Oryzias latipes: one gene and its partners. The protein of the gene in region 4 purifies or fractionates together with the protein of the main gene of each other region. This does not show direct contact. Links are inferred from orthologs where the notes say so. Each region holds a gene or a part of one and is shown on either strand. Other genes may lie near its edges.

Region 1 (7,633 bases), about 9.3 Mb from region 4:
CTTTTCCAATCATTTTAAGCTGCAAAACAAAGTGGCAGATAACGTGTGTGACATTTAAAGAGGTTTGTTTCCAAACTACTTGAAGGCGATTGTGTCTGTGATTTATGATGATTGTGTGCATCTTTATCAGTTAAAGGTTTCTATAATAAAACGAGCTATGGAAAAAAAAGTCCACACAGATGGTTAATACCCTGTTGAGATAGATCATTAAACCAGTTTAGAGCTTCAAGTTGCTTTTTACCTGAATATTTGTGGGGGATATTTATTCTACTGCTTAGTTTAAGCTTAGTTATTACCTCCTCAGAAAACACAAAGCTAATCTTTTCTCATTGCTGTGTTTTATTATTTTTGTTGCAACAATAAAATTAGAATCAGTTTATCCTCATGCTGTCCTCTGGCATTCAGCAGTTGCTAAAGTAGATTTAAGCAGTCACAGCTAGGCAGTACTCATCCTCTGACACTCAAGTTCATGCCGACAGAAAATAGAATATCAGTAAATAAAGCTTGATTGATATTCCTCTCCCATTACAGGTTATGTCCCGCTGGGAGGAATACATGAGCAAAGTCAAACCCAAACAAGGCAAAAAAGCGGACGTGGGCGATGTTGCTGCACATTTTCCCTTCCACAAGTACTTCTCCAACGCGCCGCAGCCTGTTTTTAAAGGCCGATCATACGAGGAGGACATGGACATCGCAGAGGGCTGTTACCGCCACATCAAGAAAATATTCACCCAGCTGGAGGTAAGGAGGTCACCGACAACCAACGTTCACTGGTTCCTTCTTTGAGCTACTCTTTAGATTTATTCAAACACTGCATCCCATTCCATGTAAAGTTGAGATAAACCTCTTTTGCTTGAATAGTTTGGTTTTTGCAAAACAATAAAGCAGACTTAAAAGCATGTAGTTGCTTTTTAAACATTGATAATTAAGAAAATGGCATTTATAAAAACACGTAATTACTATGATTTAAAGAAGACAACATAGGTAGACAATTATCCTCTTTTTTTCTCCCCCCTTTCTGATTAATTTAAAACACTTGACAAATACAGCTGACTAGGTTCCATTATTTCTTCTCAGCACAAGCGTTGGTCTAACAAAAAAACACCTCTGATTTATGGGAACACCAAGATGGTCTCCAAAAAGCAATAAAGAAGTTATTGGCTAGAGGTAACATCCCGACATGTGTGGTGACCTTGGTTTATCTGGCTGGCCTCTGTATCACTGCATCACAGCATCTCTCCCTCCTCCCTCAGCCTCTCCCATGCTGCAGTGAAATCTGCAACCCCATTAGGAGGTGCTGCTTTTTATGGTGCAAGGTAGCAGGAGCAGCATCCTTCTACTTTAGCTTATCTGTCTGTCTTTCAAATCGAAAATCCATCTTGAATAACTCCATATGCTGTCTATTTTTGGAGACAAAGGGTTACTGCAGATGCTCTGACATCCAACCACATTTCTCTACTTTTTTTTAATTTAACTTTCTTTTTCTGGAATTCTCTCCAATCCTTAATCCCTTAATTTAAATTTCTGATCACTCTGGAGTCATAAAGGTTAAAAATAGACTTTATTAATTTTGCATTTTTTTGATCGATTTAATATTAATGCTAAGATAGTAACACATCAAACATTTATACCCCAGTGCTGTCCAAGTCTACTTCTTCCTTCCTCCCCCTTTACCCTTTACATGGCTTATGTGGTAACCTGAAACAGCCGGCTCACCCATACTCCTACTCGGTTTTATGTACTGGTTTTGCTGGAAGAAACTGGTTGGTTATTGTCAAAAACCCAGCTACTGTTCTTAGATGCCATTCAAAACCATGCATGAAACGCTTTTTATAAAGCTGCAGTTTTTTTCAGCGATTTAATCCTCCAAGAAGGAAAGGAAAGGAGCATGTGGGTTTTATTGTCCCCCCTTTGAAATTGTGCTAAAAAAGCAGATATTTGGTTCTTTCTTGGGTTTGTTTGGCTTTAAAAAAACACATATTACCCAATAAAGAGGAGCCGCCTGTAAGAGAATATTGGTATATTCCCTCAGAGTAGACACTTCTAGTGTATTTACATTCAATTATTTGCTTATCTGCTTGTTCTAGATTTGTTAGTGATGGTCACATTTCTTTTAAGAGTTCTTAAACACAGACACAACTGTTTCATATTTTAAAACTGTATTATAGTTAGTACAGATAGTATATACTTAGTTTAAACACATAAACCTTTTTTTTTGTTTAAATAAAGACATACAAAACACAATTCTTATGTCCAACAACTGAGCAAACAGATCAGAGCTGAAGGCCTTTTGCGTTGGACAGGTTTTACAATCACAAAAAGAGGTTATATATCTTCAAAAAAAACCATAGTGTAAATTTGTATAAACCCCTTTTTGCTTTTTATTATTTTTTATCTATTTGTTACATTTAGTGTGCGTGGGGAGGGATTTTAACATGTTTCTAAATATGTTTAGTGATTTAGCCTCTTTGATTTGTTGAAGATCTATCCATACCATAATAGCCTGCATTGAAAAACATATCTATTCACTTTACTTCTAAATTGAGGTTTCTAGAAAAATACATTAAAATTAAAATACATTTTTCTTTCTCAAATTTATTTTGTATATTCTGGGGTAAACATTTATGATTTAAAACCAAAACTATATTTTACAAAACCGGTGAATTAAAATACCGGTATATATTTTATTTGGAGGATGCCTATAGTTACTTCCTGTGATTATTTTTGTTGCCTTTTTCCAAAAGAAAATAAAAAAAATTGAACCTGTAAATGTTTTGTTTGGGTTTTCTCAAATTTCAATACAATAGATCAAGTATGAATGTCTTTGACAGGATTTTTATTTTTGGATTTTAGTTAGAGTTTTTAGTTTAAGAAATCATTAAAAGTGTTTTTTTATTTAACTATTGTAATTTTCCCAGGATTTGAAGATAGAAATAATTGTCTTTGCTCACAGGAACTGTTCATTACATTCTGCAGTGAAACTGAACTTTCCAAATACAAAAGGCATGAATAATAGAAACAGGAAGTTCTGTCACACTGATTGTTTTTTTTAAGCATCATAGCTCTATAGTGCATCTTTTTGCACTATAAAGATGCACTACTAACCCAATCTTCATCCTTGTTTATAGGAGTTTAGGGCCTTTGAGTTGCTCAGAAGTGGACTGGACCGTACCAAGTATTTGCTTGTGAAAGAGGCCAAAATCATTGCCATGACCTGCACGCATGCAGCACTCAAACGTCATGACCTGGTGGAGCTTGCTTTCAAGGTAGATTCATTTACATCAAGATGTAAGAAAGCATTCCGTAACACATTATTGAGAAACATAAACCAAATGAATCTTCTTATTGGTAGTATGACAACATTCTGATGGAAGAAGCTGCTCAAATTCTGGAGATTGAGACCTTCATCCCCCTTTTGTTACAGGCAAGACTTTTGTTGTAAACTAAAACATATTGCCAATTTAGACAGTTTTTCTGTAAAAACAATTATTCTATCTTTGTATCTTCTTTTGACTAGAACCCAGAGGATGGTTACAGCAGACTGAAGCGTTGGATTATGATTGGAGACCACCACCAGCTGCCCCCTGTCATCAAGAACATGGCCTTCCAGAAGTACTCCAACATGGAGCAGTCTCTCTTCACTAGATTTGTGCGCCTGGGAGTTCCCACCATAGACTTGGATGCACAGGGCCGTGCACGCGCCAGGTGGGAACACTGACGAAACAAAGCAGGGTTCTGGGGTTAGCTTAACAGTGAAAGTGCTGCTTCCACCCTGAAAGGCTGACTGAAAGAAAAGTTGTGTTTGTCATTCCACAGCCTTTGTAACCTTTACAACTGGCGCTATAAACATCTGGGTAACCTGCCTCATGTCCAGCAACTTCCCGAGTTCCAAGTGCCCAATCCCGGCCTGACCTTTGACTTTCAGCTGATCAACGTGGAGGACTTTAACGGGGTGGGCGAAACCGAGCCCACTCCTTACTTTTATCAGGTAGGTAAAAACGCTTCAGTGTACAAAAATAATGTAATCCACCAAATTTGTTGTAAATCCTTTTAGGGAAATCATAGTAGTAGGATTAAAGGTTGTCATCTGGAGAATTGACAAAGCCTTTTGGATAAGAGGTGAAACGTCTTCAACTTTAAAAACCAAGTCCCGATGACAACCTTTAAACCTACTACTATGATGGAATCAACCTGGATGAAAGAGAGTCGTCATAGACACATTTTAGGGAAAGCTTGTTTGTGAAAAGTGTTTTTAATGGGATTTACGGTACCTGGTTTGGATGAGTAGGTGGAAAAAACAATTGGAAAATAGGAGGAAACCATAACAATCTTTTTTTTTCAGAGGTAAAAGAAAATGTTCTTTTAAGCCAAACATTTTCTCAAGTTTTATATTAAAATGCACAGTGACAAAGAACTTTACATTTCTTTTTAAAAAGACAATGCAGCAGGTGGACAGGCTTTGCTTAAATTGGTATCTGTAAAGACTGGAGACCTGCTCACTCATCCCCTGCTTTGATTACTTTTAATTAAAGACATTTAGTTTAATTAGTGACTGTTTCTCATATTTATTGCCAGCCTGCAGTGATTTATTGCCTCCAACTGTGGACTTGGTTATTACAGCAGATTATCTGCATGTTCTGGATTCGTTGGACACAATTTGACTGTAGTTTTAGTTTTTATTTAAATATTTTATGGGAAAACATTTATTACAACCTTATGAACTTAAAAAAGTAGAGCAGAGTAAAAACAAAAATAGGAAGTCAGTCTTAAAATCAGACATGAAAACTGGTAAGCAAACGGTGTAGAGTCAATTAAGCTTTTTGAAAAGTAAATTTTGCACCGTTTTGTACGTTTTTAAAAATTATTTACAAATGCAGTTCAGATATGTTATGTTTTATTTTTGACCCTCATTTAACAGTTGAATGAGTGACAGAAACTACATTTAATGTTGTAGTTTCTGCCTGTTAGACTTGAAGTTTAAAACATAAAAAGCACTAACGTAGTAATTTTTTTAATTTGGTTTTGTACAAATGGCCTTTAATTTGATTTAAGCGTCTTGAAAATGTCGTAAAAATCCTTAAATTTAACTTCTGTAAATCTGTAGACACTCTGAGATTTAGGCAAATCCAAAGTGTTTTGGTGGAGGAATTTCATACAATCGAATCATGAAATGCATCAGATTCATGGATCAATTAACCTTTTTTGAATTATTTCAGACAATAGTTTGTTTGTTTTTAGTGTAAGAACGAATCATCATATTGATGAAGTTCCACTTTTATGCAAATACTTTTTTTGCGAAAGGTAATAAAATCATTCACTTTTAGAAATCTTTAAATATAGCAAATCAAAATAAAGTCTTTGTCTAGGTTTTTAAATGTAATACTTTGCTCTAATTAAATTAATCAGTTATCATTGTTCTGTAACATTTTAGCTAGCCGCTCGACCAACACTTAATGTTTCACTGCTCATATCAGTGGCATGGTTTGTAATCAAGGACATATAGCTGCTAATTCCTCTGTAATCCCCTTTTTTCCCCTTTCTTTTACTTTAACGTGCAGCATGAGTCCGTATTCATCCATCACTTCATTTTCAATGACATGACATCAGTATCTGTTACACCTGTAGCACCCATAAAAACACTGCAGGATCAGCTGAATGGCTCATGTTGCACAATATGCAGCACTTTCTGAGCACAATTGATTGCGTTCTTTTACAGAGATACTGTCACGTACACACGTCCTCCAATGTGGAGAATCGTATTCCTGCTGTGCCTCCAGCTCCTCCTAAGTGGTTGTTTTTACAGCAGTTTCATTCATTTTTAAATTTCTGTGGCTCACCTGCCAGTTCTTAAGTTAAATCTATTACTCTGCAAGCTTACAGTGGTTGTCCGGCACCCACTAGAGGGTTTGTCCTTCACATCAGGAGCCAGATTGAGTTTCATCATGACATTGCTCAGACTCCAAAACAGCGTGCGGACAGGCGGATCTGCTGATGGGGTTGTTTGTTTTTGCACAAACACCAGCAAAATGCCATTTATTTGGTCAAATGTTATGTCTTATGCTTGTCTCAATGCTGTATCCACCTGTTGCAGAAATACACAATATAAAATTATAAAGTTTCACAGAGAAACAGGTTTTTCTAAATGACAATACAGCTGTTTGTATTAGATTTTTAGTTACGCTGATAATATTTGACAACCTAAAATGAAACATCAGACGTTCTTTTGAAAATGTAGATGTTCAATAATTGTAAAAAACAAACAAAACAGCTCTTTTGATTATCAGTAGTATAAAATCAAAGCATTTTTTTAAAATAGTCTAATTGCGAAATGTTTTGTTTATGCATATTCAAGATTGCATTTGCAACATTATTGCAACATTATTAGTTACACAATTTCAAATTTTTAATTAAAAAAGTTTCATTTCTTAAAAAATAATGTCCCATTTTTTCGTCTCTAATTTTAAATATTCAGTTTTCGTTGTCTTATGTTTGCTTTTGCAGATAACTTATTTATTTTTAAATGATTTTTTCATTGATAACTGTTTTATTTCGTATTTTTTCATTTGATTTCACAATAGTGTACTGCTCATCAAAACGTTCTCTACTGTTTCACAGTCCTGGTCCTTCTTCTGGTTGTACCATGCATTTTCCTCAGGCCTTCATTTACTCCTAAATCCAGATCATGTGCGCGTCTTAAGGCAGCAGGTCACATGAATCTCGTCTCCCCTCCAGGTTACCAGTTTCTCACTTAGTTGCCAGGATATAAAAAAACAAATACTGACTTTCCAAGGAGACGGATGGAAAACACTGGAGTTGAATCCAGACCTGGATAGTTGAACATGTTTTGCATTAAACTTGCTAAAGCTGAACCATGTCGGAACCAATAAATGCATGCAGAAGTCTTTTGCTTCTTCCCATTTTCTAAATGAAGTTTAAATCCATTGATGTTACTTCAGTGTTGTCTAAGGGCTCATGAACAGTGAGATCAATGGCCTTTCTGTCACACAGCTTATACATTTCTGCTTCACATTATGCATCTTATATTACATGAAAGCAATTGATCTGATGAAACCGATGGCAGTGTAGATTTATGCTAATCTTTATGTGCAGTTTATTTCTATGTTCTTGTTCTATCCCTTCGTCTTTTATGGTCTGTATTTTTACTTGAGGACTTTCTAAATTCTGGTGACTAAATTTAGAAATTTTAGATTAAATTAATCAAATTCATAACTTTTTGAACATTTTTGTTTAACAGGAACATGAGGGTTTGAAACTGGAATGGTTAGACATATTTTAGATGGTTTTCCTGGTGTGCACTCTGAAATTGTTTTTTTGTAATGAACTACTGCTTCTCTGCAGAGACACTGTCCTATAAAATGACACAGGTTTGGCATAATCGTAGTTAAAAGGCCACTGAGAATGCTTTTAGAATAGATCTAAAGATGGTCTGTAATGTCATTTTCCAAAATATACAGAGCAGTGATTAGCTTACGTTTACCGTTTATTTTATGTATAAATATATATAGATATAACCTGTATGTGTATGGGTCTTTTTTAGTACTGGCTGTTGGAAGGCCAACAAAAGACGTCATTTTTTTGATGTGTTGATTTCAGTTCAACTGGATCAGAAACT
Region 2 (8,371 bases), on a different chromosome or scaffold from region 4:
GAAGCCAGATAACCATCTCCAGTGCTGGCGGGCCGGAAGGCTCGTCTGCCAGAATCAAGGAAGTCTCCAGCTCAAACCGGAATAACATGCCGACTAAACCAGAAAAGTTTGTTTGAATCTTGTTAAAGCTCAGCTTTTAAGGGATATCTCCTCAGTGTCAATTTCTGCAGCTGAATTTAGAAGCATGTGGAAAAAGGGTCTGACCGTCTGGGAGGGGGTCGACCCAATGTTTGTTCAGCCCCATGGGGATGGAGTCCATCTCTGCCTCTCGAGCGGCCTGCTTCAGCTCCCGCCTCTCCTTAGCCAGGGCGCTCTGCATCATGGCGGCCTGTGACAGCGACCCATCCGGGTTCTGGGGGGGTGGGGGGGAACCAGAGTCAGAGCTCAGACAGAAAAACGACATGCTCCTATGAAAAGATGTTTTTCTACAAACTTTTACAAACTCCTGTTTTGGATAAATAAAGCCTCTTTTTACTTTGGGTTTCTAACAAGCAGGGACCTCCCAATCGGAGAAGGCAACCTTTGTGAAGAGAAAGCTCAGCTTTTGTTTTAAAACCGAGTTTGTGTCAGTTTTCTTTCCACAACATCTTGCAGCACTAAGTAGCGTTTTAAGGCAACCAGTTTTCAGGAACTCTGCCATCTGTTCCGACTGGATTGACTAAGAAAATGTCTGAGTTCAAGTAACTCACACATCAGCAGCACTCAGACAACAGCTACCAATACTCATAATAGAAGTTCAGCTGAGTTGTGGGCGAGCCTGTTGCTCTGGGGTTCCCTGCTTGTGGTCCGCCCGGCGTATTTTCGACATCACAGATACGCTCTTTTTCAAACAGCTTGTTTTTCGGCTGCTCCTGATTCACAACAATTTGAATAGAGAAATACTCAGAAATTCAATTTGATTCATAATTCTCTTCATATATATCCTCCATCTGCATGTTAAAAACACCAAACACACCATTTTCATCAGAGTGGGTCTTTATAAGGTTTATAGAAAAGCTTGTTCCAACAAGATGACATTTACGACATTTAGCTGTTGAGTTCAGTCAGAACTGTTGTTATTCAGTCTGAAGCGACAGGGAATTGAGTTTACCTTGACGATCTTAACAGGACTCATGTCCATGCTCTGTTTGGTGTGTCCTCTCAGAAATGGGGGTTCCTCCTCCACCAGCTCGATCTCCAGATCTTCATCTGCAGGAAAGTGGATTCAAACTTTGCATGAAGTTCTACTTTATGGGTTTTGTAGCAGACGGAACATTTATAGAAGTGGACGACTATTTCTTACCTTCTTCGTCATCAACTTTAGGCAGGATTCCTGTCTCGTCATCAAAATCTGGGAATTCTTCTTTGGACAACACATTGGCAGCAATCATCTGTTTAACAACAAAAGGTTCTGTTACCGGAAAAAGTTCCACAAAAGAAACCTCACAAAAGAGAATAATGTTCAACAGGTTATGACATCAATTTTTTTGACCGATGGCCATTTAGATTAGAGGCCAATTAATTAATTAGTTATCAGTAAATATATCCGTTTTGTAATTAAATAAAGAGGCAGTCATCTCTGTGAAAAGCAGACACTCAAATTGTAAAACTAGAGCACACCTGTTTGATCTCCCACTTCTCGGGGTCAGAGATCTTTGTGAGTCTCTTGCGCTCCAGAGTGTCGTCCTGTTCCATTTCGGGGGCGTGGCCAAGGTTCAGGTTGGAGGGTCGGTCAGGGTTCCTCATGGAGACCTCTTCTCCTTCTGGACCAACGTTCCTCCTTCTGTTCGGGTTCAGATCTTCTCCTGTGTCTTGATCCACATCCTGGCGAAGGCAGATAAATCAATAAAAGTTAGGAGTTGCAAAGGTGAGAACATGTCAAATCTTTCTTGAAGCCATGAGTCAATCTTTTATTTACCTTCATACTCAGACTGGTCTTTGAGCCTGTGAACGACAGCACCTTCACTTTGACTCTTTGACCCTTGCTGACAACGTCAGCCACATTGGCGACTCGTCCCTCTCTACGCAGCTCAGAGATGTGGACTAGTCCCTCCCACCGCTTCCTAAACCAGAAGAGTTCACAACACGAAGGCACAAGAGCAACAGACCAGGAAGGTCAGAAAAATCTTTGAAGTTATTCAGGGTAATTGATTTTTTAAACCCCACACTGACCTTAATCCCTCCAGTTGGACGAAACATCCAAACTGCATGATGCTGGTGATCTTGCCATTGTAGATGTCCCCAACAGAAGGTTCCTCTGGAGGGGGGCGGTCCACATGTTTGTCCTTCCAGCGGTCTCCATCCCTGTCCTGCTCCTTTCGGGGACTGGGGGAACGGTCACCCCAGCGGGAGGACTTCTCCCTTCGTTTGCCTCGGTCTCTATCTCTGTGGCGATCTCTGGAGCGAGATCTGGATCGAGATCGAGAACGATGGCGCCGCTTCTTGTCTCTATCTCGATCCCTGGCTCGGTCTCGGTCTCTGTGTCTGTCTCTGCTTCTACTTCTGCTGCGATGCCTGCTTTTATCCGACCTAAGATACATAATTGCAAGAAACTCAAAGTACATTCTACCCTGGAGAGGATCTCCCCAGTCAGCGTTTTCCAACCACGGTCAGAATCATGTCATTGCAGTTCATAGTGTATGTAACACATCGAATCTGTAAACACACTTAAAACAGCATCACCCGAATGTAAAAATCGGGTCTACAAGCAAAAAAAAAATGTGCAAGTTAAAATGTTTTTAATTTTTTCCAACCCAGTGTAAAATATTCAAAGTTTTTGGTTCCTGACAGCTAATAATTTTTCTTATTTTATAAAGCAATCACCTACATTGGTCAATTTTTATTTATTGTTACATAAAACCAATAAATGCATTTTGCAAAGAAATCTTTTTCTGGCTTTTTTATACTGAAAAAATACCGAAAATGTACCAGACTGAGCCCTATGAAATTCAGAACTAGAGCTGTGACGGTGTGGGATTGCGGTTAACTGATGATTTTAGGTGTCACGTAAAAGCCACTGCGGCGAGCAACAAGCCCCATGCTCCGCTCCATTCTGCTACATTCCCTGGTGGACGACTAGATCCTCGTCGGAGCTGGTTTCTGGCCCAAAACTGGATAGCTCCAATAGATGGGTGACGAAGAGTGGGGGCGGGCTTGCTCAGTGCCAACAGTTTCAGCCCACAACTCAGAGTTAAATTTCTAATGAACTCCTGCTGCTCTGCACAAACTAAGTCCTCATATGACACAGATTTTTGGATTTTGGCTAAAAATATCATCATCATAATTAGAAAACTACTGGGAACGCTTTGAAACTATATCAAAAGAGGATCAGACTGGGACTTAAAAGACCTTTTAAGAATCTGTGGTCACACTGTTTACTGTTTCCATTTTACACAATAAAACAAACTTCTATACAAATGATTTTATTCTACAAAAATCAAAGTCTTACTTTGTCTTGCCCCCCTTGGACTCTGCCCCACTCACGCTGGGCATAAACATCTCAAGCTCTTTCATCGCATCAGCTGCTACTTTGACATCGTCCTCATCCAGGTGTTGCTAAAGTATTCAAACACCAAAAAAAAGTCAAATGTCAGCATTTTTTCATTAAAAAATGAATAAATAAAGTGATAAAATCCTTTCCCAACTTACTTTTGGTACAGGATCATCGGGTCTACAGAGTGCGGGGAACATCTCCTTTAGCCTGTCTTTCTCTGATTTGGGTTTGACAGATGCTTCTGAGACTGAAAGAGATAACACTTGCTTAGTTTAAACGAGAAGCAAACAAAATCACTATTTATGGATGACTGATCTGAACTATGTTTGGTATAAATATGCATATTAGCTGTTAAATCAGGAGAAAATGTTCCTCAGCATCAACATACCTTTACTCATTGATGCTTTGGATGGAGGTTGCATCGTCTGAATGAGTCTGAGCAAGTTGCTGATGAGAGAATCCTGAAAATCAAACAGCAAAACGAGGCGGTTTTCAACAGGAGCCACCGGAGAACGGGTCACAGGTCAGCGGCTGGAAGTGGACTTACTGTGAACTCGGCTCCATTTTCAAGTAAAACAGCTTTGAATCCATCAAAGGCTGGTTGTTTCTCAGCGAGGCTGATGACGAACTCAGCTGGGAAATGAGAAACAGAAGGTTTTTTCAACAAACACAAAAAAAGACCTGCAAATTTACTGGATTAATGAAAACGTTATATCAATTTATGAATATCTAAAAATGATTAATCCAATGAAGGCTTATTGAAAGATATTAGTTGTTGCTTTCTACGGGAGTCTTTGATGTGATCTGTAATTTGTTCATAGACTTAAACATTGACATTACTGTTTTTCGATCAATTAAAAATAAAAACTATTCAATATGCCACTGCGTGCCTGCTGCTGAAAAGAAACAAGCTAACTACATAGCTAGAAACGTATTTTAAAATAAACGAATATTCAATACGTAAGCTAGGTCATGCGCGCATGACGGTAACAGTATTCTTAACATGTTTAACTGTTGTTTGTATTCTTTAACAAGGAATAAACATTGGGATACGCTTTAGTTTGTTTACAGCCACATAACAGCTAGTTAGCCTAGCAAAAGCTAACTAGATGTTTTTAAACAATTCGGAGTGAGAAAAAAACACTCACCTAAATCCTTGTCGTTTATTCCTAAATGATTGTCGAGCTCCGTGCAAACCTTGGACACTAAAGACAAGTATTCGAGCTGCGACAGCTCTTCTAACCCAATGTCTGCCATCCTCCACGAGCCTTGTTTTTGTTCAGAGATCGTAGCAGACAGCGGACAGGTTAGATATTTAATCACTTCCGGAGTAAACGGAAATACGATCCTGGGGATTTGGTAGCTTATCATTTCCTGCTACACGATGGCGCCAAAGCTTCGATAAATAAAACCCATTAAAAGTTAAGGAAAGTGGTAAAAATAGAATAGTGAAAAAAATAAAAATAAACCCACCTGAAGAGTAAATTTAACTGCTGAAAGTATAGTTTTTTTCTATGGCAAATATTCTTTACGAGATATTCAGTGAAATAATAAGTTTAACTTTATATATTAGTATATGTTATTTCTCTACTTGCTTTAAAAGAATGCTTTTATCTGCTTTATCTCCTCTAATTTTATGTGGACTTTCAGTGTTGGGGTTTTGTAAAGACGGTTCAAAAGCAGGATGCCATGATGGGTTCAAGCCAAAGTAAACTAGCAGATCTTTGAGTATACTATCACATTGTAGTAACATTTTTATCCTTATGATAATATACCTTAAATTTGACACATGCTGTATTTTTTGACACATCAGAGCTATCCGGCTTTATGGGTTTAAAACTCTAGAAATTACACCTAAACTACTTTTCTGAGGCTTTTTTTTTTAAAGAAAATGATCTCAAACCAGAAAAATAAAAATTTTTAAAAAAGAAAATTGGACGGTTGAGAAAGTTGAGCATGCCAGGGACTTGCATTTGATCAATTACAGTGGCAATTCTGCATAACGTTGATCCCTCTAATGAGATTGTATGGATGCTTAGATTGCTCTAACCATGGTCTTCAGCTCTTCTGTGTTGTTGAACATCTGGTATCTCATATCTTCCTATTTTTTATAGCCCCGAACATTTACAGGATTTAGGTCAGGTGAGTCTTAATCAGTTTCAGGGATACCAGGCTCTCTAAACCAGGAACTGATATCCTTGACAGTGTGGGCAGAACTCAAATCAGCATCTCAATAATGCCGGTCAGCCATGAAAACCTTTGGGAAATAGCTGCTCTGACCTTGGATTGTACTGAACACGGCACAAATATCAGCCTGGGTTCACATAGTTATAATGATTTATTCAGTAGAAAAAATATTGAAAGGAAAACAGATTAAGGGCTTTTATAAATCCATATTGCATCTGGAGTGAAGATCACTTTTAATAGATAAATCTAAAATACTTCTGCAGGCCTAACATACTCTGAGCTGAAGCTGGGAAATGTGTCGCTAACAGTTACAAACCTCGGATGTGTACAGATCACATGTTACATGTACATGTGTGCCCTCGGAGGATTTCAGCTGTGAGATTAAATGAAACAAAACAGGGAACGAAAGAAAGACAGACATAAAAGACAAGTTTGTTTCTTTTGGAGCAAATTCCAAAGACTGCATGAGATGAGAGTCTATGTGGAAAAGCAGTGAAAGTGTAGAAGGTTGCTGAGGCCCACAGTGTGGATCCGCACTTCTGCTGGACTGCCCAAATAACCAACCCTGTGCACCAAGCTTCCTTTGGTTGTTTTAGCAGAGCTTTAATGTACACAGTGCCTTCAGGATGATGGGATCTGCTGCAGGGTGCACAGAGCTAAACATGCTAAGCGCACTGTGAGGTGTCTTGCTAGTCCACATGAGTCTATCGCTGTGCAAAAACACACACCAAAAAAAGCTGGCTGGGAGAATAGGAGTGTGTGCAAACAGTGTGAGAGTTGAGCATAAATTACAATTGACAGCCCAGCTGGCTGCAATGGTCTCCTGCTGCAGACTGGAAAATTCCAAGCTGTGACAGAGCAGTGAGCGCAAAGAGTAAGGAAGACACAGCAGAGAGAGAAAGAGGCATGAGGAGCAGGAACCAAACAGCTGCTGAGGGATTGGTTAGTGGGAAAGCTGCACTAGCCAGATCACAGCTGATATCCACTTGCTAAATTGAGGGGTAGCAGTTAGCCTTCCAACAACATTCATCCATTCATTTTCAGAACCTGGTTGATCCCTTTTGGGGTCACAGGGTCGCTGGATCTAACCCATCAACTTTTGGGAAAAGGACACCCTCTGCTGTAAGGCCCCACACTCAAACTCACACACATCTAGGGGCAATTTAGTGTCATCAATCAATCTGTGAGTAGAGAGCGCAAACCACTACGCCCCTGTACAGTGTCTTCCTACAACATAAGCTTAAAAAATGAAAAATCAATTCACATCTTCACTCTACAAAGAAAGAGGTGGTTCAGTTTGGACCCATTGCTAAAACAGATCCTTTGATTTTATTGTTGTGTCTTAGATTTATGTAACATTTTCATGACATGAAGGTAGTTGGTGTTAGAGTAGAGGACGCTGAAGGCAGGGTCAGATGGAGGAACCTCATTCACTGTGGTGACCCCTAAAGGGAAAAGCCAAGAGGAAAACAAGAAGAAGAGTTATGCAACAGTTTCATGTTTTTGCTGACTCTGGAGGTGCAAAGTCTGTCAGCTTCATGACCAACAAAATCAATGATAACTGCATTTATCTTCAGTTAAGAGTTTTATCCATGGAGAGGCATTTTTTGTGTTGTTTGCTAAATAAATGACTGTTGGAATGACTTAAAAGGCCCACTAGTATAATAGGTATTTGTAATATGTTCTTATGGCATTTTACTTTTAATTGCTAAGAAGGTACATTGATACGTTTTTAGGACATGTAGATTATTTGGATTGTGTTAGAGGCAATGTGTATCATGTTAAAAGTTGTTTTAATGAGCCTGCTTTCATCCAACCACATTTCAATGAGTTGGTGTGTCTTACTGCTGCTCCGTTACTCTGTTTACATCATGCAATGCCTGGCTGCGGTTGCCATTTTGGATTAGTTGTTCTGCTCCGAGCACAGAGCCCATTCAGACTTAGGAAATCTAAGAGTGAACCGAAGCTCACCTCGAAACATGGGTCAGTGAGCGGTTCTTGGTCCTGGACCAGAGTCCGCTTGGGTGTATTCAGACTGAAAGTTTATTCCAGATTGTCGGGGGAAACAAACTCTGCTTTACTTTAAGAGAGCCAAATGTGACCAGTCTGAATCCACCCTAAATTCAAAGTTGCATTTCTGCATATTTCTTTATTCAAATTCTGAATCAGGAAGACTTAAATGTAAAAAGGTAAAAAAATATGCTGAGTGAGCCACAGGCTTCCTGCTCTGCTCCATTCCTATGCATCCACTTGTAGACAAATAGATCCTAGAACGTCGTACTTTTCCTCGTCTGAGCCGGAGTCTGGTTAAAAACTCCACGGCTGAATAGCTCCAATATTGCTTGCCATTTTTGTTGCATCGTTAGTGTTCGGTTGGGGTTGTAAGGGGCTGTAAATTATAGTGAAAGAGTGTGTATACAGATGGGTGATGGACATGGAGTTGCTCTGTGGCAACAGTCCCATCCACAATTCTGCAGAAACTGTCCCAGAAAACGACACAGGTTTTTTGCAATTGGCTAAAATGGCAAAATCATAATTAAAAAGACCACTGGGAATGCTTTTAAAATAAATTGAAAACCAATGGATTAGGATTTTAATTTAAAGTAATGTCAGCAATTTGTACTTTTTATAAATCTGACACAGATATGGGTCTCTGCTGTTGACCGGACTGTGAGACAAAGAAACACTCTCATATGGGATTATCATTGGTAA
Region 3 (7,276 bases), on a different chromosome or scaffold from region 4:
CTTTTGTAGAGTTTGGATTGTAGCTTGTTTGTGGGCTGCCGTTATGCGCCGACCTGATCGAGATACAACATCTGATTCCAATTGAGTCTGAAAATATGTGATCAAATTCAGGCCAGATTTTTGATCACATGATCGGATCAGGACATCTGTACCTAAAGATGGCCTCGTTTTACTTTTGTACTAGGCCTGCACCATAAATCGTAAACTTATCGTTATCGCAATATCAAGCTGTGCAATAAGCATTTTGTAAAAGTCAGTGAAAATTGCGATAAATGGTTATCTTAAATGTTCTAAAACAATCTTATGGTTGCTTGAAGTATTTAACTAATCAAATAAATGCCTTTATGCATTTGACCAATCAGATGGAGCCATTTTATGTTAGATGTTTGCCTCCTATGTAGACGAGGGTCATGTGGATTATAATTTAATTTATGTTGACTCTTATTTAAATTAAACTGTTGCAGTAAAATGGAAATGATGTTTTTGGTAGTTTTGCGATTTGTTTATGTATCCCAAGTTACATCGTCATTGTAATATTGATCATTAATATAGTAAATTGCAAGTTTTCCTCATATCGTGCAGCCCTATTTCGTACCGATATTTTGTTTTCACCTTGATAAATTGATTGTTCTATATCATATTAATTCATTTACAGGGTTTTCTGTTTATTAAAACCAAAATACGGGTTGTTTTTAAAGCTTTTGCTGCTCAATTGGCACAAACTGCCATCAGGTTCTCCCACAAACTCAATATCATTCTGGGTGTAAAACACCTTTATGCTAAAGTCCAACAGTTAGAGTTAAGCTATTGTGTGTAATGCTTGTCTATTTTTATTTTGTTTATTCCAAATACCTAAAATTTTACTGTTTTTTTTTTCTTAGGTGCAGAATAATGGAACAGAAACTTCACCAGAATTTAGCCAACCTTCAGACAACAGGATGCTAAAGGATGCTCCTACAACCACAGCATCTCCTGGTACAGTAATACTGATCAGTTTCTACTAACCGTAAACTGTATTTTCACTGATTCACTGTAATGTTTTTTCTTTTTTCATTCAATAGAGTCCGCTTCACCACTGCTGACGACGAGCAGACGGCCTCGCTTTTTAACTGTACCCCGGCACAAGAGGAATGCGGGGGTAAAATGTTCAAGGAGGGTGTCCCTGCGAGGTGTCAGTTCTCTGAAAGGTAAAACTACCCCATCTTACAGGTTTAAATAAAGTACTTCCTAGACCACCTCAGCCCTAAGGTGGTAATCCAATAAGTGTTGCATTTCACATAAAGTTTTGTTGTTTTGTTCATAGATTTAGAAGACCTGTTTGAGCGAGCCGCTGCAGAGCCTCATTCTCCCGGTCTTACCTACAACGACCTGAAGGAAGTGTTGCAGACGTCGGCTCCCAGCGAACGCACCATGGAGTGCTTCGACAGCAACGGGGACAAGATGTATTCCCTGACAGAGCTGAGAGTGGCCGTGGGTTTTTAAGCACACATTCTATCAGCAGTGAACAGTATTGAAACCCAGACAGGTCTGGAGGGCTGCAAGTTTTTTTTTCTGAAGTTGCTGCATTTTATTTTGTGAATTGGATTTTTGTCATGCTGAATGGGGGGGGGGCAGTGCTGATCTGCTCAATCCTTCTATCCTAAGTTCCATTTTATCTTTTCATCCACCACAAAACATTACCAAATATTTAACTGTAGTGTTAGGAAGTCATGTCTGCTTCTTGTTTAATCGAATTCTGCTTATTTTTAGAGATGCCTGGAGTCCATTTTTCCACCTTCAGTGTCCGACTTTTATCCATGTACTCCTGTTTTTGTCATCTGGATGTAATGATTTAGTGTTTTTCTATAGTAGGATAGAACATAACTGCCAGTTTATGGAGATGCTCCTCACCTATTCACACAACTATGCGGTCCTGCTAACCTGAATCTTTAGATCTGTATTTTGAATGTTTACAAATGACTACTAGAAACACAGTTTTTGTCAGACCTCTGGTGTTTTTATACCTTTTCCTTGTTGATCTTAAATATGAACTTTTATGCTCTTTCTTAAGATGTGACATGCATATTTTCCTAAGTTACAACTGGGATCAAGTATTTAGTCTGCGTCCTTCTCTTTGTACTTTTTCCTGTTTCATATTTGAAGGGCTATACTCGCTTTGAATCTTTGAGGTGCATCCGTGTGAGGCAGATTAAGCAATAAAAATGTAGTTTAGGCAGAAAGCACACCTAACTTGCAGTAACAGGTAGTATAAGAAGCACTGACCATCACCTGTTAGGCGTTTGAATACAAAACTATCCTGGTTCCTTTTGAGCTTTGTAAAAATGTATATTCCCTTGTAAAATGAGTTAAATTGAAAGTTTAATCATTTGTATTTTACTTTGCATGTTGCTTCTTGTGTGACATGAAACATTTGGAAATTTTAAAGTGTGTAATGTTTTTTCCGTGATAACTGACGAGTTCATGCTGCTACTGTACATGGGAGATTTTATGAATGTTTTGTGTTTGAGCACCAATAAAAGAATGTTTAAGGTTTGTTTTTGGTCGCAATAGTTTTGACAAAAGACAGAGAAAACGCTGTTCTCCTTTGAATAATCCATTTTACTTGTGATTTGCAGTTTTCAAAACCCATTCTAGACCGGACAAAAAGGAAAGTTAGTTATAAATCTCTTGAGTTGACAGCATTTTTTGTACAAAATAATTGTTTTGAGTTGAGTTGGACACAAGAAGTGATGCATTTATGAAACTCAAGCAAGAGCCCCTTTGGCCCTCCAGTCCTGGGTCAAAAGTCCCAACAATTCCTCTTCATCATCCTCATCGTCTACGTCTTCCTGTATTTCTTTTGGTTTGTCTTTTTTGGGCAGAGCTTTGCTTTTCACAGCATCTCTCTTGTCCCGCAGCAGTTCCACCCTTTTGTAACACTCGATTTGCTCGTCGATCTCGTCTATCTGGCGCTCCAGACGCCCCTCTTCATCGTCCTCCGCAACGATGGCCTCGGATTTTGTGTTCACTTGGCGAATTTCTTTCTGGAATTCTTCCCACTCTTTGTCCATATGATCCTTGGGAGCATCCACATTGCGCACTTTGGCATCCCTTACTGGGTCGTCGAAGAAGCCCTCGGGCAGCACCTCCGATGTGTTTTCTTTCTTCTCGGGGGGCTTTTCCTTCGTTTCGGCTTTCAGGACGGATCCGGAGTGAGAGATGGCGGGTGTGGATGGGATGGAACTGTCAAAGAAGTCGGCTGGAAGGCCTCCGTCCGCTCCCTGAGCAGGTGCCTCAGACTCAGCGTTGGCATCCTCGTCGTCATAAACACCGGCTAGCAGACTCAGACCCGCAGACTGTTGGGTGGTGAGAGGTTTCTCAGAAGCATCGGATGTAGACTGACTTGCAACCGACGCGGGCTTCGCCTTTTTTGCGGTAACTGCTTCGGTGTCAGGGGCTTTTCTCTTCGGTGTTTGACTCGGCGCTGGTGTCGTTTTTGCTCCTTTTAGCTCTGCAACGTTATCCTTGTGTTGTTTACCGAGGACATGAGCCGGCCACAGTAGATCGGACTTCACCTGCACACTACAGAGCGTGCAGCTCAGATGTCCCAGACTGTTGTATTTGGCGAACGGAGACTCCACGCGCTTCTTGTCAGCGGTTTGTCTTTGTTTCTCCCTCATCAACCGCCGGAGTTCTTCTTGATTTACCACCTTTTTCCCCTTTTTTGAAGTCGCCATCATAAGAGTTTGTTGTTAGCCAGCGAGCTACTAGCTAATCAGCAACAGCCCGTCTCATTAAAATGACGTAGCACCGTCGTTCGTTTGAACTACCGTGAAATCTCGCGATACGAGAGAACCTAGCATGAGCTGTAGCCGTCCGTTTATTCCTGCAAACGCTCATAATTCGCAGCCGCCGTAATTTTTCAAAAGTAAGTACAAAAGATGATACAAGGAAAAACGATGTAGCTTTCTGCGTTGTTTTTGTTTATTTACAGTGTTCTTTTATGTTCAGCATCAATTTCAGTATCATAGCCGCACCCATCATAATCATACAGTATTTTTTTTATTGTGACTTAGCAAGCTAACCGGAAAGCCACCGTCTAACGTTTAGAAATAATTTTAAATGACAAAAATATATAGTTAACTTGAAAGTATTGGCGGTTTATTTGATTTCACTTTTTATTTAATTCGCTAATGCTGCTTTGCGGACAAATTAACGTCACCGATACACCGTCGAGTTCAAGGCTAGCAATCCCCCGTTCTTCATCATCATCATGACAGGTGAAAAACTACGGTCAGTGCGGAAAGACCACAACAGCAAGCTTAACAAAAATGAAGAGATAAGGGACATTTATGACGAAACCTCTAACGAAACCAACCCTAAAGGTACCAGCAACAATTTCAAGATAAATAAGGCTCTCCAGAAATCCATCGAAAGCTCGTTGCTGAAGCAGCATCAGCATCTCAATGCAAACAACATCAACGACAACGCATGCGTTGATAAAAACAAGAATCCTATTATCCTGACCAACGAGGAATTGCAGTTTCCTGTGCACGAGTGCGTGTTCAAAGGAGACGTGCGTCGACTCTCCTCCCTCATTAGGACACACAGCATCATTCAGAAGGATGTGCATGGTAGGTTTTAATATACTTAATTCCTATTCATGTTTATCCTTAGTTTTGTTTTTAAATGCAATCTTTTGTGTCTATTAAAAAAGGGAAAATTGTCTGTCTTTTCAGGAAACACACCTCTTCACCTGGCTGTGATGATGGGACATAAAGGTAAGCTTGAATAACAATAGCAGAAATTATTTGGAGCCTTTTCCCTTTACCCTGGTAATCTGTCAATCTAATTCCAGAGGATTATGTTATAAAAAAAAATCTAGTTAATTATTTATAGTGGTGTAACAACTCATTTTAACAATGATTTGATTGATTTCATAATTTGTGGCTGGGGTTACAATTTATTGATATTGTTTCAGTTTGAAGGATCCAGTTTGATCCGATTCATTGACACCAAATCGACCGAGAACATCTATAACCAAAAATGTGGCATAATGTTGTGGTCACATGTCTTTGCAAAGTTCAAAGTGTTTCCACACATTGGACTGGAATGATGGCTTGATCATTTTTTGCTGCCATCACATGTGCTGTGATGCACTTGGTCATTTTTACGTTCTAGTAAAACAAACCTACAGTGCCTCCATCCAACATGGATTTTAATTGACTACATTTAATTTGAAACGATTATATAATGGTATGCATCAATTTGATTTTTTGAATCAAACGCATATTCTGACAATAGGAAAATAACTTCTTCCATAGTAAAAATGCATTTATAGCACCCTAAAAATGGCTTTGTATTGCCTAAAAAACCTTGTAAATGTCCCAAGTAAAAATATGGTTCTTTAAAAACACCTCCCCCTACTGTGTCAGTTCAACTTTACTCACTGGTTTCCTTTATTTGTAATCTTTCAGAGTGTGCTCTCCTTCTCCTGGCCCATAATGCACCTGTGAAAGTAAAGAACGCACAGGGATGGAGTCCTCTGGCGGAAGCTATCAGCTATGGTGACAGGCAGATGAGTAAGCAATCAGAACAAACCAAGTCCTCCTTCTATTCTATCTGTATAATTATTTAACAGATTCAGCCCGATTTGTTTTTTCTGTTATGTTTTGTTTGGAAAATGTTACATTTTTCTACATTTTTTAGCATTTTAGTTGTTGAAAGTTAAATCATATGTTCTAAAATGTTCTATTTTGCTGACAAACTCTTTTAGAAGGAAACAGCCTGTAAATGTTGAACCTACTGCTTGAGTCAAAGGTAAAACTATTAGTGTTCAGAGGACATTTCTATGACTGATCAACTAGCAGCTGCCGTGTGGGTTCAACTCGAAAGCTGAAGGTCGGGATTTTCCACGAACTCGCCATCCAGATGATCTGGATATCAGCATCTGCCACAGCTTATGATATTAAAAAGAGCTTAGCTTATAAGATCTTTACTGCTCCACATCAGAATAGGACTTCTTTAAATTCAGTGCAGCCCCATTTTTGAACCAACTTAATAAAAAAAGTCAGTTTTTAAAGAAAAAGCTCCCTCTTTTTTCATTTCTCAGGGTCTCTAGTGTAGTAAATCAATGAGCGTGACCTCTGGTACCCTGCGCTTCGGTTATCTTTGCATGTCATGACAGACTGGTCAGGGAGAGGGACTCGGGAGCTTTGAGGAGGTCACAGCTTAGAGAAGCAGGTGGAAAAGGAGCTGACTACATTCAAATGTTCAGCAAGGACACTGAAAGTCAAACTCCACTGACACAGCAGGGTGTTTGGACTTTAACCTAAATAGCATCAACAGCAGGTACCGTTCAGTTAAAGCAAGGTTTGCTCTAGAAAGCACACCTTTGTTTTCTTCTCCTAGCAGTTCTCAAAACTCTGCAATCTTGTCATCTGTCATCGCCTGGGCGCCTTGTGTCAGCAGCTCAGTTGCTGTTTGTATGTGTGTGAAACTATTACATCCTGGAGCCTTGTCAGCACTGCCCCTCTTAGCCACATCCATCCTCATTGCAGCATTTCTGAGATTACTGGGATATACTCAGAAGTGCTGACTTGGTTCATCTGGTCTATCATTGAAGGGTCACTGGTTAGCTCTTTCTTATTTATATATAGAGAGATGGGACTTTTGAACCAGTTATTCCCATCTGCTGATTCAGTCATTGCCGGACTTTGTGCCAATATATTACATTTGATTTGATTAACCCTTGTGCTATCTTAGATGACCCCACCCTTCCATTGACGTGTTCTCCCTACCATGACAAAGGTGGATAAAGGTGGAAGATTTCATGTAATCCATGGACACCAGTGAAGATCACAAATCATTGAAGAAAAAAGGTTCAGCGCACTGTAGTGGGTCTAGATGACCCAACTCCCAACATTAAAGTGCCTAGGATAGCACAAGGGTTACAAATGATTTCATCTTTTCTTAGGTGATTACCTATGATGACATAGTGGTAAATAATTTGTTTGTGTTTAGACCACAGAAAAATTGTGAACAGTGAAGTTTTAATTTGGTAAAAATTCTACACTAAAACCTAAATTTAACAAGAGAATTTCTGTATGAATTTCCATGACCTTGATTTTGTTTGTATTGTTCTTTCAGTAGGATCTTTGTCAATCAGTCGTTCCCGTTTATTTTAAACACTCATGATGGGGCTGAAAGTTTGATTCTGCGCTAAGTCATTTTTGTTGCCATTTCCAGTTACTGCAGTGCTGAGGAAGTTAAAGCAGCAGTCCAGGGAGAGTGTGGA
Region 4 (8,145 bases):
GCAGATGCTTGGTGAGTTCTGTGCTATGTACACACTGGGCATTTGACACATGATGTGGATTCTTGAACACGCTTTTAGCCCATGATGTTCACACTGGACTAACCTGTGCTAGTGCATGTACCTACAATTGGAAGAGGCTTGGTGCGAAATGCCAAAGCATATCATAATAATAATTGTTACTTTATTTATCCCACAATGGGGAAATTGTTCTCCGCAGTTGACCCATCCCACTCGGGAGTAGCGTTAAGGGCTTAAAGGGATGTTGATATGGTAATTCCCCCATTACCATTGTTCATTCCCCTCCAGGAATCGAACCCTGTGTGGTAATCTTTCACCTTACCAACCGAGCTACCCAGCTGCTTATCTTGTGTATCCAGGCTTTTTCTTTCACATCTCTATTCCAATAGATGAAAGACTTGGTGTCCTATGATTTCCGCCGGACACAAACCGCAACCATTAATTTCTCCTCCATGATCAATTTTCAAACTGTTGGCACTTCCGTGAATTATAATGGACGCTACTCCACATCCGAGTCCCTGATTGGTCAAAGTTTTACTGGTTTAATTTTCGATGCACATTCAATGGTCCACATTTTGTACGTAGAGCCCGAAAACTGACTTAAAAACTTGGGTAGTGTCACGTGAACGCGAGAGTTTTGAACGCATAAGCCTGAAACATGCATTTACATGGACTTTTTATTGAAAGTGCTTGAACATGCAAGCTCTGTAAACTTTTTGCCTTTCTTGAGTTCTCAGGCATTCACTGTGGTCTATTTCTGAACAGGGGAGCGTCTCTTCCCACTGATCCAGGCAATGCACGCCAACCTGGCAGGAAAGATAACCGGCATGCTGCTGGAGATCGACAACTCTGAGCTGCTGCACATGCTGGAGTCCCACGAATCCCTGCAATCAAAGGTGCTTTTTTTCACGCGCTAAAAATGTCAAAATACGCACTCACGCTAAAACAGTGTCTTTGATCAGGTGGAGGAAGCTGTTGCTGTGCTGCAAGCTCACCAAGCCAAAAAAGATGCAACCCAGAAAGTGGCAGGCATGGTTACTGCCACTGCTGCTGCTTCTGCTAATTCCTGAAGACCGGATGGCGTAAACACCTGGTTAACAAGTATATAAATAACAGTAATACTTGCTGTTTCAAGCATTTGTGATTTTGCTGTAGTAATAATGAATCATTGTGTCTTTTCAGAGGTAAACGAGCTGAGGTGAACAGGAACACACTACAAAATCCTTCAAACATGATGAAAACCAAGGAAAATACTTTCAATTTTGCAAAGTACTTGAATATTTTAAAAATCCTTAAAGTGGATCATTTTGTAACTCCATAATAATTTTTAACTGAATACCAAGATCAGAATGCAAATTTATCTTGAATACAAACTCTCTTTCAGTGGCAAAAGAGGGACGTCATTTTCATTAAAAAAACCAAACTGATAGGAAAGCCTTGAAGTTTGCCTTTGCTTGAAAGCTTCACATTTGACTAAACTGATGGGACTCAGTCCTATCATGTTAATGAGTGTGTGGTATTCTCAATAAACATGTTATATATTGGGCTTAGTTGTCTTTTATTTTGTTGTCTAAGGTATTTTACTCTTGACAGAGTTAAACCAGTATTCTAGTTTTAAAATTTATATATATAATCATTCTTCTTGATGATTGCTCACATTGTTTTTACTTCATATTTTGCTTTAAAGAAAAAAAAAGCTTTTATTTTTACTTTATCCTGTTGTTGACTGACCGATGATCAAAAGAGCACAAAGATGTATTTTAGTTTTGTTAAGATTTTGAAACAAGAATTTGAATTAATAAAAATAAATATTTTCAAAATAAAAGTTTTCCCATGTTCACATTTGTCTGAGTGATAGCTTTAGATTTCAGGCAAGCCAGAGCAGTGCTATTTTAGTTTTTTGTTAGTGTCTTGATGGAATTTTCAGTGGATCCAAAAAAAAAAGTAGCGTATGAATGCTCTTTCTAGAAAATAATTAAATTAGTCTTAACAAGCTGTTTTTATGACTTTAGAGTACTCCCCCCACCCCGCAAATGTCATTTAAATAGACAAACTTCACCTTTTTCAGAGGATTTAAAATCAAGATGTTTTTCTTTAAATCACTTACACAAACCTCAAAATGATTTATTGGAAGTAAAAAATCAAGTAGAGGAAATTAAGTCTGGCAGACATTCCACATTGCTCTATGATCTAAATGTTTTGAAGGTGCCAATTGCACTGTGGTGTAGTGGTTAGCACTCGCCTCACTTCAAGACAACTCTGGATGTGACTATTCTGTGTGGAGTTTCCATGTTCTCCCAGTGCATGGTTGGGTTTTCTCAGTTTCCTCCCATAGCCCAAAAATGTGCTTCATGGTTTGTTGGCAATTGATTTGGCAATCGGTTAGTTCAAAAGGGGCCCAAGTCCACAATTTTTCAAAATAGAGATATTATATGTTTTATGGTCTTCAAGGGAAAAGCTATATGATTATGTGCAAAAAAGTCCCAAGTCTGTTGTAATGTATTGACTATGCTTGACATTTAAAATGCATTAAGTGCAAAATTCCTGAACTTGGGCCTCTATTGTATGGGTTTAGTTTTATCCCATTGATGGCAGCACTAGTTATCCAATATGGCAACGCCCCTGTTTAATACAAGAAGTGCCCAAGTCCAGAGACTTTAGTTTGCTAGTCCTCTGAAATTATAAAAATGAGGTGCTTCATATTATAGCATTTGTAAGCTATGAGCTGGTGCTAAATCTGGGTAAAGTATTAATCATTTGGTGTTGCCTCCCTTTAAGCTATGCAATTAAAATCATTTCCTGAAAAAAAAACCTCTTGGACTTGGGCCCCTTTTGAACTAACCGATTCAATTCTGAATTGTCCCTTAGGTGTGAATGTGAGTGTGTGTGGCCTTGTGACAGGCTGGTGACATGTCCAGGGTGCACCCCCCTTTTGCCCAACAGTGTCTGGGATAGGCTCCAGCAACAGAGTGAAACCAAACGAGATTCGATGGGTTTGGGAAATGGATGGTTTGGATGTATCATTTGGAACAAACTACCAAAAATTCTCTGTAAGTGAGAATTTACATTTAAAAATGTTGATCTTTTTTAGCTGTTGACCTGTTCTTCTGAATCGGCCATAAACACAGCTTTCATCAGTGAATTATAATGTTATTGTTTGTAGTGAAACACAATGTATTGTGCTTTACAACTCTAGTGCTACAAAGGGAGTGGGGTAAAATTGTGCCCTTAGGGTTTTGTTTCAGATAAAAAGTATAAAACCTTAGTTAAAACATGGTTGGGTTTCCGTAAGAAGAAGGTGAGGACTGCTGGGTCACTAAAAGCAGTGCTTCTCAACCTTTTCCCACTTTCTCTGCCAGGTAACCCTCAACAGTAAATCAGTTTAGAAATACAGAAAATTTATGGAACAATAAGATAAAAAATAATTTGAAAGTAAAAACAGTTTAAAGGGATTTAGCAGCATTATAACAACAAAACTCTAAAGCAAAAATTACATAACATTAGTGTATTTTAGCTGTCCAAAAATTATTGTGATACATAAAGTATATATTATATTTGAAACCACTGAGCTGTTTTGTTTTATTTTTAAAACATAGTTAGGTATTTCCATTTAAAAAACAAAAAAGACAAAAAGCCAAAACGACAAATATGATTGTTTTCATCTGAAAACTCTGGCACATTTCACAAATGTGTTTGAAAAGAGTCATATTGACGGTCATTGGCTCTATAGATCAGTTGCTGGACCTAAATATGACCAATAGAGGGCGCTGTGGATAGTTGAAGAGGCGGGCTTCCTTTTGATTCCACCAATCAGAGGCCGAGGTTAAAGTTCAACATCTAGAATCCAATATGGCGTCGAATAAAAGGGTTCTGTATGTCGGTAAGTAATGATAACTTTTTAAATTAACTATGAATGTCAGACCGATCAAGTTACACTCCACTCTGAACTAAAACAGAAATTAAAAGCTCTTTTATGCTAATTCCTTCTATAAAAACTTTTTTTTACCATTTATGCGGGGAAAACCAAGGCGAGTCAACGTTGTATTCCGGTCTTATAGAAACCATCACATGCTGCTAAGCCAACTCATACAGAGCTCACTGTTTTCGACTTTAACATCCTGGTTAATGTACGATGTGTTCATTCAAAAGTACGAAGATGAAGCATTGAGTGTTGAGTGTTTGCGCTGCTGCTTCCTCCAGGTGGTTTGGCGGAGGAGGTGGATGAGAAGGTTTTACACGCAGCCTTTATTCCCTTTGGAGACATCACAGACATCCAGATACCCCTGGATTATGAAACAGGTCAGATCAAGTTTTATTTTATAATCATATAACAAAAAAACAAAAAAAAAACCCTGATCATTTAAGTATTTTTTGTGCTTACATTTTAGAAAAGCACAGAGGCTTTGGGTTCATTGAGTTTGAGCTGGCAGAGGTTTGTGCTTTTAAAGTTTTCTCCTTTTGAATTGAATTATTGATGGCACAAAGGATGGATTCAGAAAACTCATTTTTTAAAAGGTATTCACTTGAAAAACGTTATAGATTCACCAAACCAACAAGAAAAACTTTTATTTGTTGTTTTTTTTAAAGTGCAAATCAAACTCTTTGATTTGATCATATTAATTTGAAAATAACCCAGAGTTGTATCGGTGAATCTTTAACAAAAGTGAGCTTTTATTTTCTTGAATGCATCCCTTTCTCATCACTGTCTTTCCTTCAGGATGCAGCAGCAGCTATTGATAACATGGTAAGTGACTAACAGTTCTTCTTATTCTTTAAAAAGATTGGGTTTAAATTGTAGCTTTTTTTTGCTGCCAGAATGAGTCTGAACTTTTTGGACGGACTATCCGAGTGAACATCGCTAAGCCCATGAGAATCAAAGAGGGTTCTTCTCGACCAGGTAATCATAGAAGAAGATTCTTAAAATCTGCTTTGTTTTTTATGATGTGGTTTTGACCTGTAACTCTTGTTTTTGTGTTCAGTGTGGTCGGATGACGACTGGCTGAAGAAGTTTTCGGGGAAAACCTTGGAGGAAGCCGAGGCTGAGGCGGTAGCAGCAGGAGAGGCACCCAGCAAAACACAGGAGGTGAGAACTTTTTGTTTTGTTTTCAGGACACTCAGTTTATTCAGGGAATTAGATTCTAGATATTTAAGGTATAAGGTCACTGCATAAACATGTAGTAAATGAGCAATCTTTTTTTCTCTTTAAATCTTAATTTTTAGAGTATAGTTCAATAAATTTAAATGTACAGACCCGTTAGAGGGCCTTTATTTTATTTTTTCACTGAGAAAAGCAGGTTTTGGTGAAATATTGTTGCGTCAGTGTAAGACTAAAAATGAAGAGTGTAAAATGTACAGTGAATGATGAAATGTCATGTCAGGAGTGAAAATCTGTCTAATTTATATAAAAACACATCAAAACGTGACTCATCAAAAAAGCAGGTTTGTGTTTACAATCCAGAGAAATCTGCATTTTCTTAGTAATCCTCATTTAGATTAGTTTGATTGATCCACTCTCCCAATTAGAGAAACCAACTTTATCACTCGCATAACAGTAATAAAATTAGAATTAAAATTGATTCACTGGAGGAAGCAGGTTTCTTATTAAATGCACTAAATGAGTAAATTATCTGGGTGTGTGGGTTTATTTGGAAAGTCTTGGCGCATTTGAACAACAAAGGGAATCAGAAATCCTTTACAGCATTTGAGCAGAAATTACTTCCATAACGGTTGAGAGATAAAGTTAAAAAAAAAAACATTTGTAGGACTATTTTTCATTTATTTATTCATTTTTGCAGGGCTTTGTGTAGGCAATAAAAATATGATAAATGCATTTTTCTGATTTTGCAGGGGGAGCCACAGGCTAAAAAGAGCCGAGTAAATCCACAGGTCTACATGGACATCAAGATTGGGAACAAAGCAGCAGGAAGACTGCGCTTCCTCCTGCGGGCGGACATCGTTCCGATGACTGCAGGTCTGCACACTCAACCAAAAGATGAAGCAAATATTAACATTCTTCTAAAAAAGTGCAAACATTTGCAGTAGGGGCAAAAATGTATTCAGTCAGCTACTATTGTGCAAGCTCTCCCACTTAAAAAGATGAGAGAAGCCTGTCATTTTCATCATAGGTATACCTCAACTATGAAAGACAAATTGAAGGAAAAAAATCAATAATTTACAATTAAATTCTCAAGAAATGTGATTTTTTTTTTCTTCTAATTTTGTTTCTCATAGTTGAGGTATACCTATGATGAAAATGACAGCCTCTCATCTTCTTAGGTAGAAGAACTTGACCAATTGGTAGCCGACTAAACACCATTTAACCCCACTGTGTCCTTTAGTCTCTCTTTGAGGTTGCTGATGCACACTCTATTTACTTTGAATATAATATCAGTCTTCTAAATTCTTTATAAATTATTCAAAAAATGTTTTTCTTTCTGTTTTTATAATAAAAAATAAACCTACTCCCCAATTCTGATTTGAGACAGGACCTGAACATATTGAGATTTCATATCCTATTTTTTTTTTTAGTCTGGGGCTGTGGTCTTACAATATATGACATAACCGAGACCCCTGTTGGAGAGAAATGGCAAAACCACAACTACACATTAAAAAGTCATGTTTCAAACAAATATAGGGACTTTCACCATATGGAAATTGCAGCAGCAATCCTTCACTTTAAAGGATCTAAATAGCATTATTTAGACATTTCTGTAATATGTACCATGTCTCACAAAAGGACAAAAGTAACAGCCTCTCAGCTCCCCGTCCATCAGTCAAAAAGTGACTCCTCGCATGTTTATATACATATACATTTTCTAGATTTCTGGAAACTGGCTGAGGTATGATAACGATTGTTCCAAAGAAGTGCTACAGTTGCAGGTAAAGGGTTAAAAACTGAAGCAGGTAGAAAAGGCTGTTCCTCTGCCTGAGAGTTTGTTTTACGGGATAAACCCACAAGTCCAGTTCAGACAATGAGCGGAGGGTGCAGCAAGAGGAAAGAATGTTCTTTCACAATAGTTTTCCTGCAGTAACACCATTTCTACAGTGCTAAACTTCAGCGAGCTGAGCGGCCATTGTTGCATTTTTTTGCACCAGCTACCTGTATTTTTCTGTTGTCAATGAATGTGTGGAATTAAAGTGAAGTCTTTGGGGAAAATTCTGCAAACATACTCCTACTGATAGATAAACAAAGCCCTGATTTCCTTTGTAGTTACTCTTTTTGTAAATAATATTTGCTTTCTCTATTTTTTATCAAGAGAATTTCCGCTGTTTGTGCACACATGAGAAAGGCTTCGGCTACAAGGGAAGCAGCTTCCATCGCATTATACCTCAGTTCATGTGTCAAGGGGGCGACTTCACCAACCACAACGGCACTGGCGGGAAGTCCATCTACGGGCGAAAGTTTGACGATGAAAACTTCGTCCTCAAACACACGGCTCCAGGTGAGCATCCTGGTTTGGGGACATCAGCAGGATTTGGGGGATTTCTGAGTAAAAGCTTGTGTCTTGTGTGCACAGGGCAGCTCTCCATGGCCAACTCTGGACCAAACACAAACGGATCTCAGTTCTTCATCACGAATGACAAGACAGACTGGCTGGATGGCAAACACGTGGTGTTTGGAGAGCTGGTGGAGGGGATGGACGTGGTCCGAGCAATGGAGGTACAGTACGAACCACGAGCTTCATCCATGTTAAGTTATGACACGTCTGCAGTGATTTATGCAAAGTTTCCCTGCATGGGGACAGTTTGCATAGAAGATCACTTCTTTCTCTGCACAACTTTCCATATTTTATGGTTTTCTGCAACTTCTTTTAGTGTTGAAGCTTCAGTAAATGAGTGTTCTGCTCACTGGAGAAACCCATGTTGTCACATTCTCTTCTTAATTATGGAGGCTCAGTTGTTTTTCTGTCACCCTTTAAAAAGCAAACTTCTCTATGAACGCAATTAAAATCATAGTGGGGTGTCCATATAACCTTAACGAAACGTAACATTATTGCACTTTTGATCTGTTCAGTTTACAAAAATAAAAAAGAATTTAGTTCAGAGGATTAAATAAATGTAACATTCTAGATTTATAAAGAACGCTGCAGTGGCAAACGTTGTGATTTTAGGATTTATTAAAAATGT

The links.
Region 1: the proteins of ppie (region 4) and aqr purify together in Homo sapiens (affinity purification with mass spectrometry; 5 studies listed by BioGRID and IntAct, counting the BioPlex papers as one, with this or other methods). This does not show direct contact. The link is inferred for Oryzias latipes from reciprocal best matches to the Homo sapiens genes PPIE and AQR.
Region 2: the proteins of ppie (region 4) and dhx8 purify together in Homo sapiens (affinity purification with mass spectrometry; 3 studies listed by BioGRID and IntAct, counting the BioPlex papers as one, with this or other methods). This does not show direct contact. The link is inferred for Oryzias latipes from reciprocal best matches to the Homo sapiens genes PPIE and DHX8.
Region 3: the proteins of ppie (region 4) and znf830 purify together in Homo sapiens (affinity purification with mass spectrometry; 3 studies listed by BioGRID and IntAct, counting the BioPlex papers as one, with this or other methods). This does not show direct contact. The link is inferred for Oryzias latipes from reciprocal best matches to the Homo sapiens genes PPIE and ZNF830.

The regions. Positions count from the first base shown.
Region 1 is NC_019880.2:7,499,175-7,506,807, forward strand, and holds part of aqr (intron-binding protein aquarius), read left to right. Parts: intron 1-531; coding exon 532-741; intron 742-3,128; coding exon 3,129-3,266; intron 3,267-3,352; coding exon 3,353-3,424; intron 3,425-3,517; coding exon 3,518-3,705; intron 3,706-3,816; coding exon 3,817-3,988; intron 3,989-7,633.
Region 2 is NC_019877.2:18,257,349-18,265,719, forward strand, and holds the start of dhx8 (ATP-dependent RNA helicase DHX8), read right to left. Parts: upstream 4,793-8,371; 5' UTR 4,730-4,792; coding exon 4,621-4,729; intron 4,106-4,620; coding exon 4,020-4,105; intron 3,934-4,019; coding exon 3,861-3,933; intron 3,720-3,860; coding exon 3,628-3,719; intron 3,535-3,627; coding exon 3,428-3,534; intron 2,509-3,427; coding exon 2,152-2,508; intron 2,043-2,151; coding exon 1,898-2,042; intron 1,804-1,897; coding exon 1,600-1,803; intron 1,371-1,599; coding exon 1,283-1,370; intron 1,189-1,282; coding exon 1,091-1,188; intron 353-1,090; coding exon 205-352; intron 1-204.
Region 3 is NC_019875.2:26,991,903-26,999,178, forward strand, and holds znf830 (zinc finger protein 830), read right to left. Parts: upstream 3,775-7,276; 5' UTR 3,720-3,774; coding exon 2,745-3,719; 3' UTR 2,578-2,744; downstream 1-2,577. Other genes in the region: efcab14 (EF-hand calcium-binding domain-containing protein 14), read left to right, coding at 882-975, 1,062-1,187, 1,304-1,482; ankyrin repeat domain-containing protein 13C-like, read left to right, coding at 4,253-4,613, 4,719-4,760, 5,457-5,561, 7,228-7,276.
Region 4 is NC_019880.2:16,795,070-16,803,214, reverse strand, and holds the start of ppie (peptidyl-prolyl cis-trans isomerase E), read left to right. Parts: upstream 1-3,797; 5' UTR 3,798-3,867; coding exon 3,868-3,898; intron 3,899-4,218; coding exon 4,219-4,317; intron 4,318-4,406; coding exon 4,407-4,450; intron 4,451-4,735; coding exon 4,736-4,762; intron 4,763-4,833; coding exon 4,834-4,915; intron 4,916-4,997; coding exon 4,998-5,101; intron 5,102-5,865; coding exon 5,866-5,989; intron 5,990-7,274; coding exon 7,275-7,460; intron 7,461-7,535; coding exon 7,536-7,678; intron 7,679-8,145. Other genes in the region: pabpc4 (polyadenylate-binding protein 4), read left to right, coding at 1-11, 784-914, 981-1,088. UniProt on the Homo sapiens protein: Involved in pre-mRNA splicing as component of the spliceosome. Combines RNA-binding and PPIase activities.